Linked DNA regions of Schizosaccharomyces pombe. Changing the gene in region 1 together with any one later gene gives a genetic interaction. Each region holds a gene or a part of one and is shown in the gene's direction. Other genes may lie near its edges.

Region 1 (3,354 bases):
AAGCTGCAGTAGTTCCCGAGCGCGCTTTTTCGTAAGCATCTCTCGCTTTTTTGAAAGTGTCGCTTTCACTTAATGATCCTGAACTATCTTGCAATGCTTTGACACTGTCCTGTAATTCCTGGCTCTTCTTTAATTCTGCTCTAAATGTATCCATGAACACCTTGATTGGCGATTGAGGTGCTGCATTTTGAGAGAATATAGACGTTTGGAAAAACCGCTGGCATTGAACTATTGTGCGGGCATTTTTTGTGATTTTTCTTGATAGAAACATTTTCTTTCCTATTGAATAAATAAATCTCAACGCTATTACGCGAAAATTAATCCACTTTGCTGCCTTTTATTGCAAACCGATATAGCAGCCTAGTGAGTGGTGGATGGAAGGTTCAAGTGCCACAAAGGTGGAAAGATACCTTAATCCTAAATATCGAGAAGTAGTCTTTTGTTAACAAAAGTTAGCATATTCTCTTATATTTGGACTTTTTTACTTTACTAAGAGGAGTTTACGATTAGAATTTTTACGAATTCGCTCATTTTATCTGAAATGCAACTATTAAAATATTGATATAGAGGGAAGCATAAATTACGCATGATCCTAATATATTAAAGAATAAGAGTACCGATCAATTTCCTTTCGTATTGGTTGAAACAGTCGTAGCTGTTGCTTACAATATTGTTGGGAATCGATACCATGTGGGTGGTAAGAGATCGTATGAAGTTATGAAAAAAAGTATTCAATAAGCAGCATAGATATATTACAATGCGTTATATAGAACTGGATAATTTGAGTATGTAGCGGGTTTTGGAGATAAAAGCAATAGTATTAATTAGCATTTTGAAGTTTCGTTTATTCATTTGTAGAGATTTTTCAAATCTAGAAAAATTTAAAGATCTCTTAATTTTGTATCTTTTTTTTTTTTTTTATCAGTTTGATAGAATGTTTGTATGTAATTCTTTCTAATAACATGCGACGTTTGTTGTGCCCCTAAGTTTCTTTGATGAAATTTATTTGAAAATAAGGAAGTAGCTGGTTTATACAGAATTCAAAAGGCGCATTTAAGTTGTAGTAAACCTCGAATTTTTCTGATGATTAATGTGTTTCATGATTTTTTATGAAAACAGTTGTTGAAGCTCCTATATTATTTATCACAGGTTGTAAATTTTCAGCTTCAATAACGAAATGGGATACTTAAAGTCATAACTGATCAATTTTGGCAGACAGATCTAGCTTTAAAAGCTTAGATTCATTCAACATCAAGTTTATACGAAATGATCAGTTGTAATACACTTCCAACTTTTCTGATAATGATTCAGAATGATTACAACATAGTATAGTTGGAATGTAAAATTATTTGTTTCATGAAGAACTGGTTTTCCATCTTGAACACTAGACGATAAAAGCAACCTGAATATCATAAATCATCTTCAATCCAATTAAGCAATTCAAAAACAAAACAAAACAATTTATTATGCATTTGTAAAAGTAAAAATTTAAAAGGTGATCATATTTCTTCAAATTATCGCTTTGTTTACTATTTTAAATTGTGCAGGTCACAATTGAATGTCACCTGTGAAATAATAAACCAGCCTTGGACTATAGACAACGATGTTGCCAAGAACCATGTTTTCATATGGAAAAGAAAACGCTTTTCCTGTAACTCCCATATCAAACAGAAATGGTACAAAAGGAGCGGGCTCCAAAAGAGCACCATTGGGGTCTACAAAGCAGTCGAATGCACCTTCTTCTGTAACGGTTCCTAGAACGGTACTGGGAGGTAAGAGTACTAACATTTCCAAATTTATTTCTGCTCCCAGTACAAAGAAAATGTCTCCTATGGATATTTCGATGGATTCCCCTACTATTTTGGAGCCAAACTCACAAGGAATTTCCCGATCAGCCGTACAAGAGCGGTCGAAGCGACTTTCGGCTAGCCCTCGTCGTTCCTCTTTAACAGACACTCCTTTACCAAATGAACTTGAAGAAGATATCGAATATATGCCTCCTCCTGTTCATTTGGACCCCATTCAATCCCTGGGGTTTGACGACGTTGCAATTGATTGTGAAACGCTCGATCCTTGGCCTAGCATGCAGAATAAGGCTACCTCAGTAACTATTCGTAATACACCTGCATCAGATTTCCATGTTTACAAGGAGTTCAGTGATGATGATCCTATACAATTTCCTCTGCTCAGCGTAGACGGTGACTCCCCGTTAACAGAAAAGGATACTAACCTGACAACACCCGCTACCTTGAAAGCTTCTGATCAACAAAGAAAGGTTCTCGAAAAGCCTTCTGTCAGCAAACAATCCTCTTCCAGAACACGACTCAGTACCGTTTATCGCACCAAGCTGGCATCTGGTAAATCCATCCCTCGACCCTTATCTCATAAACTCACACGACCCCGAGTAACTGCATCTGGCAATAGCCGTCGGCGCCCTTTATCTCGTTCTATTCATTCGTTATCATCTTCACGAATTGATTTTTCATCTTTGGATACAGGATTGTTATAAAAAGATTCCGAATTTTCAGGTTTTGTGCGTACTGGCTTCCGCTTCTACGATTGTAAGTATGATTCTTCCGATGGCTTTGATTTCCCTTGTTGTTTAATTTGTTTCACCACTTTAATGCTGTTCTTTTTTTTTTTTTTTTTACTTAAATGCATAAAGCCTATACGGTCCTTAATTTATGACATGTTTTTCGTTCATGACTTTTCTGTACAAATGATTTCCTTTTCTATATGCTTTTTTTTTTTTGGCTTTTCTGGTTCAATATTTTACTATTGTAATGTAGATGAATTATGTTAATAATATTGTTATTTTCATTCTACGTTGATGAATATTATAAATACTAGTAGGTAAGATGCTGAGGAATAGAACATTTTCCAGTGTTAGTAGTAGTAAAGTGACTGATAAAGAGCAAAGGTATCCAAAAATTTTGGCTACACATAAAAATATGTACTAGGTCAAAGACAAATTTCTGTGTTTTACAGCAGATGCACACATTCCAAAAAAAATTAAGATGATTGAAAAAAAAACACTATATAAACGAAAACTAAAATGATCATCTAAAAAAAAAAAGGATGCAAATTAGCACAAAACAATTATATCAGCTACTTCTACTACAACAACAGTTTACTTTAATACTAATAATAAATAAACACGCAACCTGGCAAATTAATCCAAAACGCAAAAAGGATAAAAATTTCATTGCATTCTATAAAAATAAACATGTATTGTAAACATTAGTAAAATTTAATGTATGCTCAGAGTTTAAAACTTAGCAGCCTTGATGTACTTGCCAGCATGGGCACCAGCGTAAACACCCTCGGAACCGAGTTCCTCCTCGATACGGAGAA
Region 2 (3,991 bases), on another chromosome or scaffold:
AAAATGCCTCTGAAGATTATGCAATTGAACCATCGGATCTGGAAGAAGAAGTTGATCAATTGTAACGATTTCTGAAAAAGGAAAACATAACACTATGATTTTATTCGTTTGCTGCTGCTGTCAAAGCCTTGCGTTGGTTCGCCTTGACCTAATGTCAGCTAAAAACTTCTAAACAACTTTATATAAACCAACTTAACATATTTTAGCAGTTACAATCAAAAGAATTAATTACCTAAGTTCGTGGGTTACTAAATTGAAAATGAAAATAAGGAAATTTTTACAAAGAATCAATTATATATAATCCAAAACCCTAAGTTCAATAATATAACAGCGATGATACATATCCTTTAGTCAAGCCACTTACTGGGTTGGACATCCTGCAGTTTCCATAGAATTATCAATCAATGGAGCTGGAAGCGGCTTTTCCTGTATTTCTTCTACCAGTTTCGAAATGATATCTGCATCTTTACGAGCATCATATTCGGGACTCTCAAAAATTTGAATACATTTCTGAATTTTCTGGTACTGTTCTTCAAAACCTTGCTTCTCTGTCTCCTTCGCATTCTTTAAAAACTTAGGATAGTTTGCTTCAAGATCTTTAAGGGGTTCATACAAAATCTCTTTACTGGTAACTTGTGACATTAGGGAGTTTAAGGCAGCCTCTAAAGCACCATAGTTAACGGCTCCATTATCCGAATCTTTTTCCGTTGCAAACTGATCCTCTAATATAACATTGAGTAACTGATCATTCTGAAAGCTAGACGAAAGTTGACTCCCATCCAAGCCAGACGGTCCCCCTAAGTCTTCAAATTTGCTCATCATTTCTTGAATAAGTGAATTCAAATTATCGTCATTCTTTATCCTCTCATTCTCTTTTGATGTATTACCGGTTTGTTTATGCTCATCTATGTTTTTCTTCTCTTCGTTCTTAAATGCACTGGGTACATCTAAATCATCTAGGATATCTTTGTTTTGTTAGTTGTTTCCTTTTAATGTAAAGTCCTTTCTACCCTCTCATTATTTTTTATATTTATGCAATGCAAAATTCACTTGAACGAAATATCGTAATACACAAATCGTAGTCAGGACATTACCGATGTTCCATACCATCCAAATCATCAAGGTCGTCAAAATTCGGCTTTGTGTTGCTTTTTGTATTTTCTTTACGGTTTTCGTCTCCCTCAATAGTTGGATTTGACATTCCGTTTATATATCAGATGTCAGCATACGTTTGTCGTTTTTCAAAAGCCTCTTGCAAGTTCAATTATCATGTAATTCACAAAATAAATAAAAAAGTAGTAAGTTCAAAAAAAATGAAAATTTGGAACTGCCAAAAAAAAATAATAAAGTGCTTCTCTATTATTTTTCATGTAGGTAAAACCGTAGTGATCGTTGTTTATCAAAGTATATCAGCGTGAAAACGTTCAAGTGCATTAAGATGCGTTATTTGGTTTCAAATTTGACGCAATTTTAAATCTTCAAACAACAAATTTAATGGAATTTTTTTTATTTACTGGATGTATGAATCGTTTTAATTATTCATTGTTTGTGTATCTGGTATGAATCGAGTACGAAATTAACGATCATAAAATCGTCGACACAAGAACGTAAAGTCTACCCCCTGCTTTTATTACTTGCCTATGATCAGTTGAAATGAAGCTTTGTTTTCATTTTTAGCATCACCAATAAGTTAGAATTGACTACTGTTTACCAACAACAATTAGTTAAATAGTTATTGACTATAACATTGATCCATACGCACAATTACTTCGAAAAAAATTATTATTTTGCTCTTCCAACTTAACGATTTTCTGTACTGCGTTAACATATTATTGTAGGCTTGACACTCAGCTGCGGTGACATTATATTAAATAAAATGTAATTTTTTCAGTAAACAAATTAAGGAATTAAGTAATAGTTTGGTAACGTCTCATGAGAAGAAAACTCTTGAGCCACTAAATTGTTCTTACCATTTTCCATTATCTTTTTTAAGAAATCGAGGTTCTAATTGAGCTGGTATTGCGGGCAATAGAGCTTCTTGTAATATAGAAATTATAATCGACGGTTTTATTTCATTTGGGCTGAGAAAAAAATTAAATTGCTAGCTTTCATAAGTCGATACACTGAGCAATAGCCATCCTTCCGGCTTTTAAAAAAGGAAGCTCATTAACAAAGTATCCTCTATCTTTGTTTTATTGTTACTACTTTTGAAATTTTTTCCTCTTTCTTTTGGAATATCCATTTCTTTGTAATTTTCATTTTCTTTGTTATAATTAATCAGACGATTTCACGTTTGAAGTTGGTATCTTTATTTGTTGTTACTGTTCATTTCCTTAATTCATGGAGACCTTATCTTATTCTCAGATTAAGAAACGCAAAGCTGATTTTGACGAAGACATTTCTAAGCGTGCTCGTCAACTACCTGTGGGTGAGCAACTGCCATTGTCGAGACTGCTACAATATTCAGACAAACAACAGCTTTTTACAATTTTATTACAATGTGTAGAAAAGCATCCTGATCTCGCACGTGATATACGGGGCATATTACCGGCGCCGTCCATGGATACTTGTGTTGAAACGTTGCGTAAACTTTTAATTAACTTGAATGACTCATTTCCCTATGGTGGTGACAAGAGGGGTGATTACGCATTTAATAGAATTCGTGAAAAGTACATGGCTGTCTTACATGCGCTTAATGATATGGTTCCTTGTTATTTACCTCCATACTCTACTTGTTTTGAGAAAAATATTACTTTTCTTGATGCCGCTACAAACGTTGTCCACGAACTGCCAGAATTCCATAATCCCAACCATAATGTTTATAAAAGTCAAGCGTACTATGAATTAACGGGCGCGTGGCTTGTTGTTTTAAGACAACTTGAGGATCGGCCTGTAGTCCCTTTACTACCTTTGGAAGAGTTGGAAGAGCACAATAAAACATCACAAAACAGAATGGAAGAGGCATTAAATTACCTTAAGCAATTACAAAAAAATGAGCCACTTGTACATGAAAGAAGTCATACTTTTCAACAAACAAATCCACAAAACAATTTTCATCGTCATACTAATAGTATGAACATTGGGAATGACAATGGAATGGGTTGGCACAGTATGCATCAATATATTTAAAAACTAGAACAGAAGGCCTATAAGGAAACATATAATGGCTAATAGGAAAGCGGTTTGCACAGTAACTGTGTTATGAATTTGAGGAACAACCTTGGCACCACTAGTCGGACGCCCAAAAGACGATGAAACGCGTGCAAGTCCTATTTGATTTCCACTGTTTCCAGCGAACATAGATGGACTCGTAGCTGTTGATTGTCTTGTGTTATTAATTACATTAGCGGTAGATCTTAATGCATTATTTTCATTGTTAGGAGAAGTGGTAGTAGGCACTGACTGAGGCTTTGGGTAAGGTTCATTTTCAGCGACTGTTGCAGTAGGAGCTTTTACGGCAGTAGATGGGGCTTCATGGGGCTTCTGGTGAGAAACTGCAGATGTTTTAGGAAGCTGGGTATGCTGTGTAGTAGCTGTAGATGGAGCAGCTACGGGATTTGCATGGGTCGAAGGAAGTGCCGTTCCGTCTATTCCTTTAGAGTAAGATTGATTAACATTACCATTTACTGTGGTATAATTGTCAGTGGCAGAAGTAGGAATAGATGTAGTCGTTGTTTGAGCTGGTTGATGGTGAGCATTAGCATGAGCATTTGCAGTACTGGGGCCTTCACTATAAACACATCGAATTTTTCGTTCCGATATATTAGCCTTGCTGACTTGAGTCCACTATTAAAGTATTGGTTAGAACATCAATTATGTATGGCATGTATTAAAAAAGTAAATGTAAGTATATCTTTTATCACATACAATATCTGCTATATCCATTCCCTGTAATTCTGGCTTCAATTCAGTGCTCTGGACCAAAAATTTATCGCGGCATTTTGTGCCAGGAGCCGGTTCGTGATCTAGAGGCTGTAGGATAACTATTAAA
Region 3 (6,953 bases), 340 kb from region 1:
GAAACTTTGAATCCCAAACCGGACCTTCTACGATTACCTCTAATGGGCCGGAGGAACGATGGGTATTAGAAGCATTGACACTATCCTTGTCATCATCCTCATCATCCACAAAAGCATTATCACCATCCTCTACAATATCATCGGAATTATCTACCTCTTCATCTTCACTTTCTAAATCTTCTCCATCATCTTCCTCATCAGCTACCCATTCTGCTTCTGAATCATATGTGTAGTCTATGTCTTCATCTTCAAGCCAGGGATTCAATAAAACGTTAGAACCATGGGAATGGGTTTTCGTGTAAGATCCAAAATATGGAGGGCGAACATCCTGATAAAAGAAAATGAATTTAATAGGAATCTGTGATAAACAAGATAAAATTTCTTGAGGTTTTGAAACAGATGGATCTTGATATGCGCTCATTAATTGTCGAACCTCGTTTTCGGAATTTCTATTACTAACACCTAAACTGTTTGCGGAGCTTACAGCATCTGATGGTGTAAAAATGTCGTTTAGCTTTAAAGGATAAGATTTAGAGGTTGAGAGGACTTCATCCAAAAAAGAATCAGATTCGTTCGGAGATGGATATTTGGAAAGGGACATCTGATGCTTTATAAAAAAAGGGCGAAACTCTTTCTCAAACTCATTCAGTTCATCCGTTTTGTCAGCTACAAAATTTTCGTTTGGCGCGATTCGTTTCTCAACTCCTTTGGTGAAAAAGTTGTTTAACTTCAATTGTTGTCTTTCCTTATTAAGGATTTGTTCTTGACGAAGGCGCTGTGCTTCTTCTTTCTCACGAAGCTTTTGATCCCTCTCCTCCTTCCGCCTTTGTTGTTCCTGCAATCGAATCCGCTCCTTCTCTAATTTCTCTAATTCTTTCATTTTCTTAGCGGCGATTTTTTCCTGTTCTCTTAGCTTTTTCTCTTGCTCTCGTTGTTGACGTTCCTTTTCACGTTTTAAACGCTCTGCTTCTTTTTGTCGAATCCTTTCCTCTTGGGCCCGCTGTTTTTGAAGCTTCTTTTCTTTACCCGCTTCAGCAGAGCCATTATAAATTCTTTTCTTTCTATTACCCTCATAACTTAATTTGCAAACGTACTCATCAGCTTCACTTGCAGAGTGACTGGAATGAATAACCGATTCATTCGGGGAACTCACTGATAAAGACGTAATGTCAGTGGAAGAGCTACATAACTCATTTCCCTTATTACTAGTAGAGGCCGCGACATCTGAATCAACACTTTCACTATTCATAGACAATGCTGCGAATATCAATAACAAGCCTAAGGGAGGCTAAAAACCGTGCGTAAGTTGTTTTAACGGACGCTCTGATCGAATAAAGAGGATAAAGGAGAGTTCGTAAATTATATGTTAATATTCTATTATATACATCACTATCCCAAATCTGTCTCACCAATCTATTATTCATCCATCTTAACGCTTATATAATTGAATAATTTAATTCCTTAGTTCTAACAAGATATGTACTGATTGATCTGAGTAGCTTAAACATCAAAGTTTTTTGCGAATGGGTTAATATGGTGATTTGTTATATATTTTACCTGACTACGATTATATAATATTACTGCTACATTGCATTACGATATTAATGTTAATATTTTATGGCTCATCTATATTATGATTGAGTTAATATCAGTTGACGAGAATTTTCTTTGAAATTATTTGCCATATTTTTTAACTGGTGATTGGAGTACCACAAATTCATTAATAATGAAACAAACGGATGTTGTTATCATCAATTTTCTTCCTATTTATATGCAGCAAACTTCTTTCAATAACGATGCATCGTACATATATAGGCAGGGGCTATGCAGCTTAGAATAGTAATTCGCTGGAAGGATAATATCATAATAACGAGGTTCTTGTTACAGTGAATATCAAGTTGCACTATATATTATATCGTGGATTTCTGAAACTTTATGAGATGTAATCGTAATGAGTAGGTAACAATATCTAATCAAGTAAAGACGCGTACGCGAGTTTCATACACACCTTGTACATTCCTTTTACCAAGTTTTCCTAATGGGACGTTTACTAAGACTGGAAGTTGAAAACTTTAAGTCTTATCGAGGACATCAAATTATAGGTCCTTTTGAGGACTTTACCTCGATTATCGGTCCTAATGGAGCCGGAAAATCGAATTTAATGGATGCCATTTCTTTTGTTTTAGGGGTCAAGTCTTCTCATTTACGATCAACTAATGTTAAAGAACTGATCTATCGGGGGAAAATACTGCAAAGAGATAATACAGATTTCACTGATTCTAGTAATCCTACTACAGCATATGTGAAACTTATGTATGAGTTGGATAATGGGGAGCAAAGAGAGTATAAACGCGCAATCACTCCTTCTGGTGCTACTGAATACAAAATTGATGAAGAAATAGTTACGTTTTCTGAATACTGCGGATCTCTCCAAAAGGAGAATATTCTTGTTCGAGCTCGAAATTTCTTAGTTTTTCAAGGTGATGTTGAAACCATTGCTTCGCAATCTCCTTTAGAACTTTCAAAGCTTGTTGAACAAATAAGTGGCTCTCTGGAATATAAATCTGAGTACGATAAATCTAAAGACGAGCAGGACAAGGCTGTAAATTTATCTGCTCATTCGTTTAACAAGAAACGTGGTATCAACGCTGAGTTACGCCAATATCAAGAACAGAAAACTGAAGCCGAGCGTTATCAAAGTCAAAAAGAAAAACGAGACTCTGCGCAGTTAGTTTACCTTTTATGGAAACTCTTTCATCTAGAGAAAAGTATTAGTTCTAATATGGCAGAGGTTACTCGATTAAAGGCAGATTCCATTCAACTTATCGAAAGGCGAGATGAGAACACTAAAGAGATAGAAAAGTTGAAAGAAAAAGAGGGCAGTATACGAAGAAACCTTCTTGCATTCGATAGAAAAGTTCGAAAACAAGAAAAGTTGATTGCTTCGAAACGTCCAGAGCTCATTTCAATTGCCGAGAAAGCCCTAGAGTCTAAGTCAAATCTCCGAAAAATTCAAAGAAAAGCTGCGGAAATAGAAAAAGATTATTCTGACCAAGCTAGTACGTTACAAGTATTAGAAAATCAATTGACTTCACTCTCAGCTGCTGAAAAAGAGTTTTTAAAAGACATGCAGGAAAAAGAGCAACTCAAAGGGTTGCGATTGTTACCAGAGGATAAAGAGGAGTATGAAGGACTTCGAAGTGAGGCGGACAAATTAAACTCAAATCTATTGTTCAAATTGCAGACGTTAAATAGGAATATTAAAGTTACTTCTCAATCAAAGGATTCATTAACGAGCATCGTTGGAGACTTAGAGTCGAAGATTAAAAGCCTTCATGAAAGTGTTTCTTCTCTTGATACCGAGCGAGCGGATTTGCTTGCTAAAATAAATGAAAAGATTGAAAGTTTGGAACTTGAAAAGCATGATCAGCAGAAGAAGAGGTTGACTTATTCTGAGCTTTTTCATAAAACACAAGAATTAAATGAAGAGCTTCAATCTTGTTTACAGAAAATTTTAGAGGCAAGTGCCGACCGCAATGAATCCAAACAGGATGCTAAAAAAAGAGAAGCATTGTATGCTTTGAAAAGGATATATCCTGAAGTCAAAGGAAGAATCATTGACTTATGTACTCCTACTCAAAAGAAATATGAAAGCGCAATCGCTGCTGCTTTAGGCAAAAATTTTGACGCAATTGTCGTCGAAACGCAGGCAGTTGCTAAAGAGTGTATTGACTATATAAAAGAGCAACGCATAGGTATTATGACCTTTTTTCCAATGGACACCATAGCAGCCAGTCCCGTTAATCAAAAATTTCGTGGAACACACAAAGGCGCCCGACTTGCAATTGACGTTTTGAATTTTGAGTCTGAATATGAACGTGTAATGATTAGTGCAGTTGGAAATACACTCATTTGTGATTCAATGACTGTTGCTCGAGACCTTTCCTATAACAAACGTCTCAATGCCAAGACAGTTACTTTAGAGGGAACGGTTATACATAAAACAGGGTTGATTACTGGTGGATCTTCAAACAACCGGTCGGCGAAACACTGGGATGACCATGATTTTGATCTGCTTACTCAAACAAAAGATAGACTTATGCATCAAATTGGTGAAATAGAATATCAAAAGTCATCTTGTGTGATTACAGAAAGTGATACTGTCAAGTTGCATAGTCTTGAATCTGAGATATCTCTACTCAAAGACAAATATACAGTAGTTTCTAGATCCGTGGAAGACAAAAAAAAGGAAATTGGACATTACGAATCTTTAATCAAAGAAAAACAGCCTCACTTGTCAGAATTGGAAATGGAACTTCGCAACTTTGTTAAAAGTAGAGATGAGCTTCAAATTCAAGTAGAAAAGGTTGAGGAAAAGATATTCTCCGGGTTTTGCAAACGAATTGGGATAAGTGATATACATACTTACGATGAGATACATCGCACTTTTACTCAAAGTTTTACACAAAAACAACTCGAATTCACCAAGCAAAAATCATTACTTGAAAATCGTATTAGTTTTGAAAAACAACGTGTTTCAGATACCAGGTTACGATTAGAGCGTATGCATAAATTCATTGAAAAAGATCAGGAATCTATTGATAATTACGAGCAAAATCGGGAAGCACTTGAATCAGAAGTTGCAACTGCCGAGGCTGAGCTTGAATTATTAAAGGAGGATTTTGCAAGTGAGAACTCTAAAACTGAAAAAATTTTATTAGCTGCATCCGAGAAAAAGCTAGTGGGCAAACGATTAGTGTCTGAGTTAACAAAGTTATCAGGAAACATTACTCTTTTAGAATCGGAGATTGACCGCTATGTATCTGAATGGCACGCAATTTTACGAAAATGCAAACTAGAAGATATAGATGTTCCGTTACGCGAAGGATCTTTGACGAGCATACCTATAGATGATGTCTCAAACAGCGGTGATATCACCATGGGCGAAGAGCCGTCTGAACCAGTAATAAATTTTGAGAAATTTGGAGTAGAAGTGGATTACGATGAACTGGATGAAGAGTTACGCAATGACGGTTCTGAGAGTATGGCTTCTGTTCTTCAAGAAAAATTGAGAGAGTATTCGGAAGAGCTGGATCAGATGTCTCCTAATTTAAGGGCTATTGAGAGACTTGAAACAGTAGAAACTCGCTTGGCGAAGTTAGATGAAGAATTTGCTGCTGCTCGTAAAGCAGCCAAAAACGCAAAAGAACGCTTCAATGCCGTTAAGCAAAAGAGATTGCAAAAATTTCAAGCTGCCTTTTCGCATATCTCGGAACAAATCGATCCAATATATAAGGAACTTACCAAAAGTCCTGCTTTTCCTCTTGGTGGAACAGCGTATTTGACTTTGGATGACCTCGATGAGCCATATCTTGGAGGAATCAAGTTCCATGCAATGCCACCTATGAAGAGATTTAGAGATATGGATCAACTTTCTGGAGGAGAAAAGACCATGGCTGCTTTGGCTCTGCTATTTGCTATCCACTCTTATCAGCCATCCCCATTTTTTGTATTGGATGAAATTGATGCAGCTTTGGATCAAACCAACGTTACCAAGATTGCCAACTATATTAGACAGCATGCATCCAGCGGTTTTCAATTTGTTGTCATTTCCTTGAAAAATCAGTTGTTCAGTAAATCAGAAGCTTTAGTGGGTATTTATAGAGATCAACAGGAGAATTCTTCACGAACATTATCAATCAACGTAAGGGATTACTTTTTCTTAATTTTAAAATACTAACGAAAAACAGTTGGAAGGTTATGTGGAGTAAATGATAATATTAACCTGTGATATGCTGCTTAATGTCTGTGTTAATATATTCTAAGAATACTTTATGTTTAATAGGGATGGCAAATATATATTTGCGTAATTTATTTATTTCTAACGAATTTAATTTTAATTGTTTTAAGTTTCCTTCTATAATTGATCAAGGACTTTTTTAATTTACAACGCTTTTTCTTTATGTCCTTAATTGATTTTGTCTCTGAATTGACTGGGCTAATGATAGAAACATTAATTATAAGTCACAATTGTCAGCTACGTTTATGTTTAATCCCTAGTTTCAAGGAAGTTGGGTTTAAGTGAGGTTAATGTTTTCAATATAATTCCAGTAACGCAGTTACGCTTAGACGATTCGGCTCACCCCTTGACTGTTTGTTAACTAATGAATTTGGCTGCATACAATTTTGAGAAGTCTCTACTATTCTAGAAGGCTTTCTCCGGAAACTAACTATTGCATTTTCCTTTTTAGTTTAACAGTATTTGCAGTCACAAACTAGCAAGAATACTTTTAAGAATAAACGTTTTATTAGCGACGAATAGTTTAAAATATGTTTAAACCCAACTAGATGCTAACCGCACTACATTTTTAAAACCGCAGCTTATAGAACTTTAAAATATTAATTTTGCGCTTGAGTTTTCCTCATACAGCTAAATTCAATGATTTGGTAATGGTTGATTGATTCACCGTAGTCTTAGTTAACAATCACGATAGATTTCAAACAAAGAACTTTAAAGAAAAAAACTTACTTATAGTATTATCATGATTTTAATGATTTCGATTGAATAGATGTTTAGAAAAGAAGTACACCAGCATACTCAAACAATGATAGCCGGCTCCTTAAATTATTTCACACATAAACAATAACAAAGCCTTTTATATTTATCCTTTCTTAATGATAAAGTAAATTTTATACTTGTTCGTTTTGGGCCTATCGACTGCAAGAATATATTTGTTGATCAGATACACAACACACTTCCAAGGGTACTACGTTAAAACTGTTACAGAACCAACATCTCGATAACGCACCTGCATTCTTTTGGTGCTTGACGAATGCTTTAAACATGGGAATTAAAGGTCTTTTGGGACTTTTGAAGCCTATGCAGAAAAGCTCTCATGTCGAGGAGTTTTCTGGCAAGACTTTGGGAGTTGATGGATATGTTTGGTTGCACA

Evidence for each region. Genes that interact genetically often act in the same process or in processes that back each other up.
Region 2: of cut2 (region 1) and cut8, extra expression of one is lethal in a mutant of the other (dosage lethality), as found in Schizosaccharomyces pombe (3 studies listed by BioGRID, with this or other methods).
Region 3: of cut2 (region 1) and psm1, a mutation in one rescues a mutant of the other (synthetic rescue), as found in Schizosaccharomyces pombe (one study listed by BioGRID).

The regions. Positions count from the first base shown.
Region 1 is NC_003423.3:2,202,471-2,205,824, reverse strand, and holds cut2 (securin cut2), read left to right. Parts: upstream 1-1,608; 5' UTR 1,609-1,618; coding exon 1,619-2,509; 3' UTR 2,510-2,825; downstream 2,826-3,354. Other genes in the region: TIM23 translocase complex subunit Tim44, read right to left, coding at 1-271; eno101 (enolase), read right to left, coding at 3,269-3,354. UniProt on the Schizosaccharomyces pombe protein: Regulatory protein, which plays a central role in chromosome stability. Probably acts by blocking the action of key proteins.
Region 2 is NC_003424.3:4,475,510-4,479,500, forward strand, and holds cut8 (nuclear proteasome tethering factor Cut8), read left to right. Parts: upstream 1-1,968; 5' UTR 1,969-2,340; coding exon 2,341-3,129; 3' UTR 3,130-3,132; downstream 3,133-3,991. Other genes in the region: protein dhm2, read left to right, coding at 1-65; protein Pex19, read right to left, coding at 361-965, 1,108-1,201; scs22 (VAMP/synaptobrevin-associated protein family protein), read right to left, coding at 3,133-3,786, 3,868-3,983. UniProt on the Schizosaccharomyces pombe protein: Together with nucleoporin alm1, tethers the proteasome to the nuclear envelope. Involved in ubiquitin-mediated protein degradation and facilitates the degradation of nuclear proteins like mitotic cyclin and cut2. Required for normal progression of anaphase.
Region 3 is NC_003423.3:2,538,705-2,545,657, forward strand, and holds psm1 (mitotic/meiotic cohesin complex ATPase subunit Psm1/Smc1), read left to right. Parts: upstream 1-2,011; 5' UTR 2,012-2,038; coding exon 2,039-5,704; exon of another isoform or gene 5,705-5,750; coding exon 5,751-5,771; 3' UTR 5,772-6,453; downstream 6,454-6,953. Other genes in the region: histone H3-H4 chaperone, CAF assembly factor (CAF-1) complex subunit A Pcf1, read right to left, coding at 1-1,249; exonuclease I Exo1, read left to right, coding at 6,845-6,953. UniProt on the Schizosaccharomyces pombe protein: Involved in chromosome cohesion during cell cycle and in DNA repair. Central component of cohesin complex. The cohesin complex is required for the cohesion of sister chromatids after DNA replication.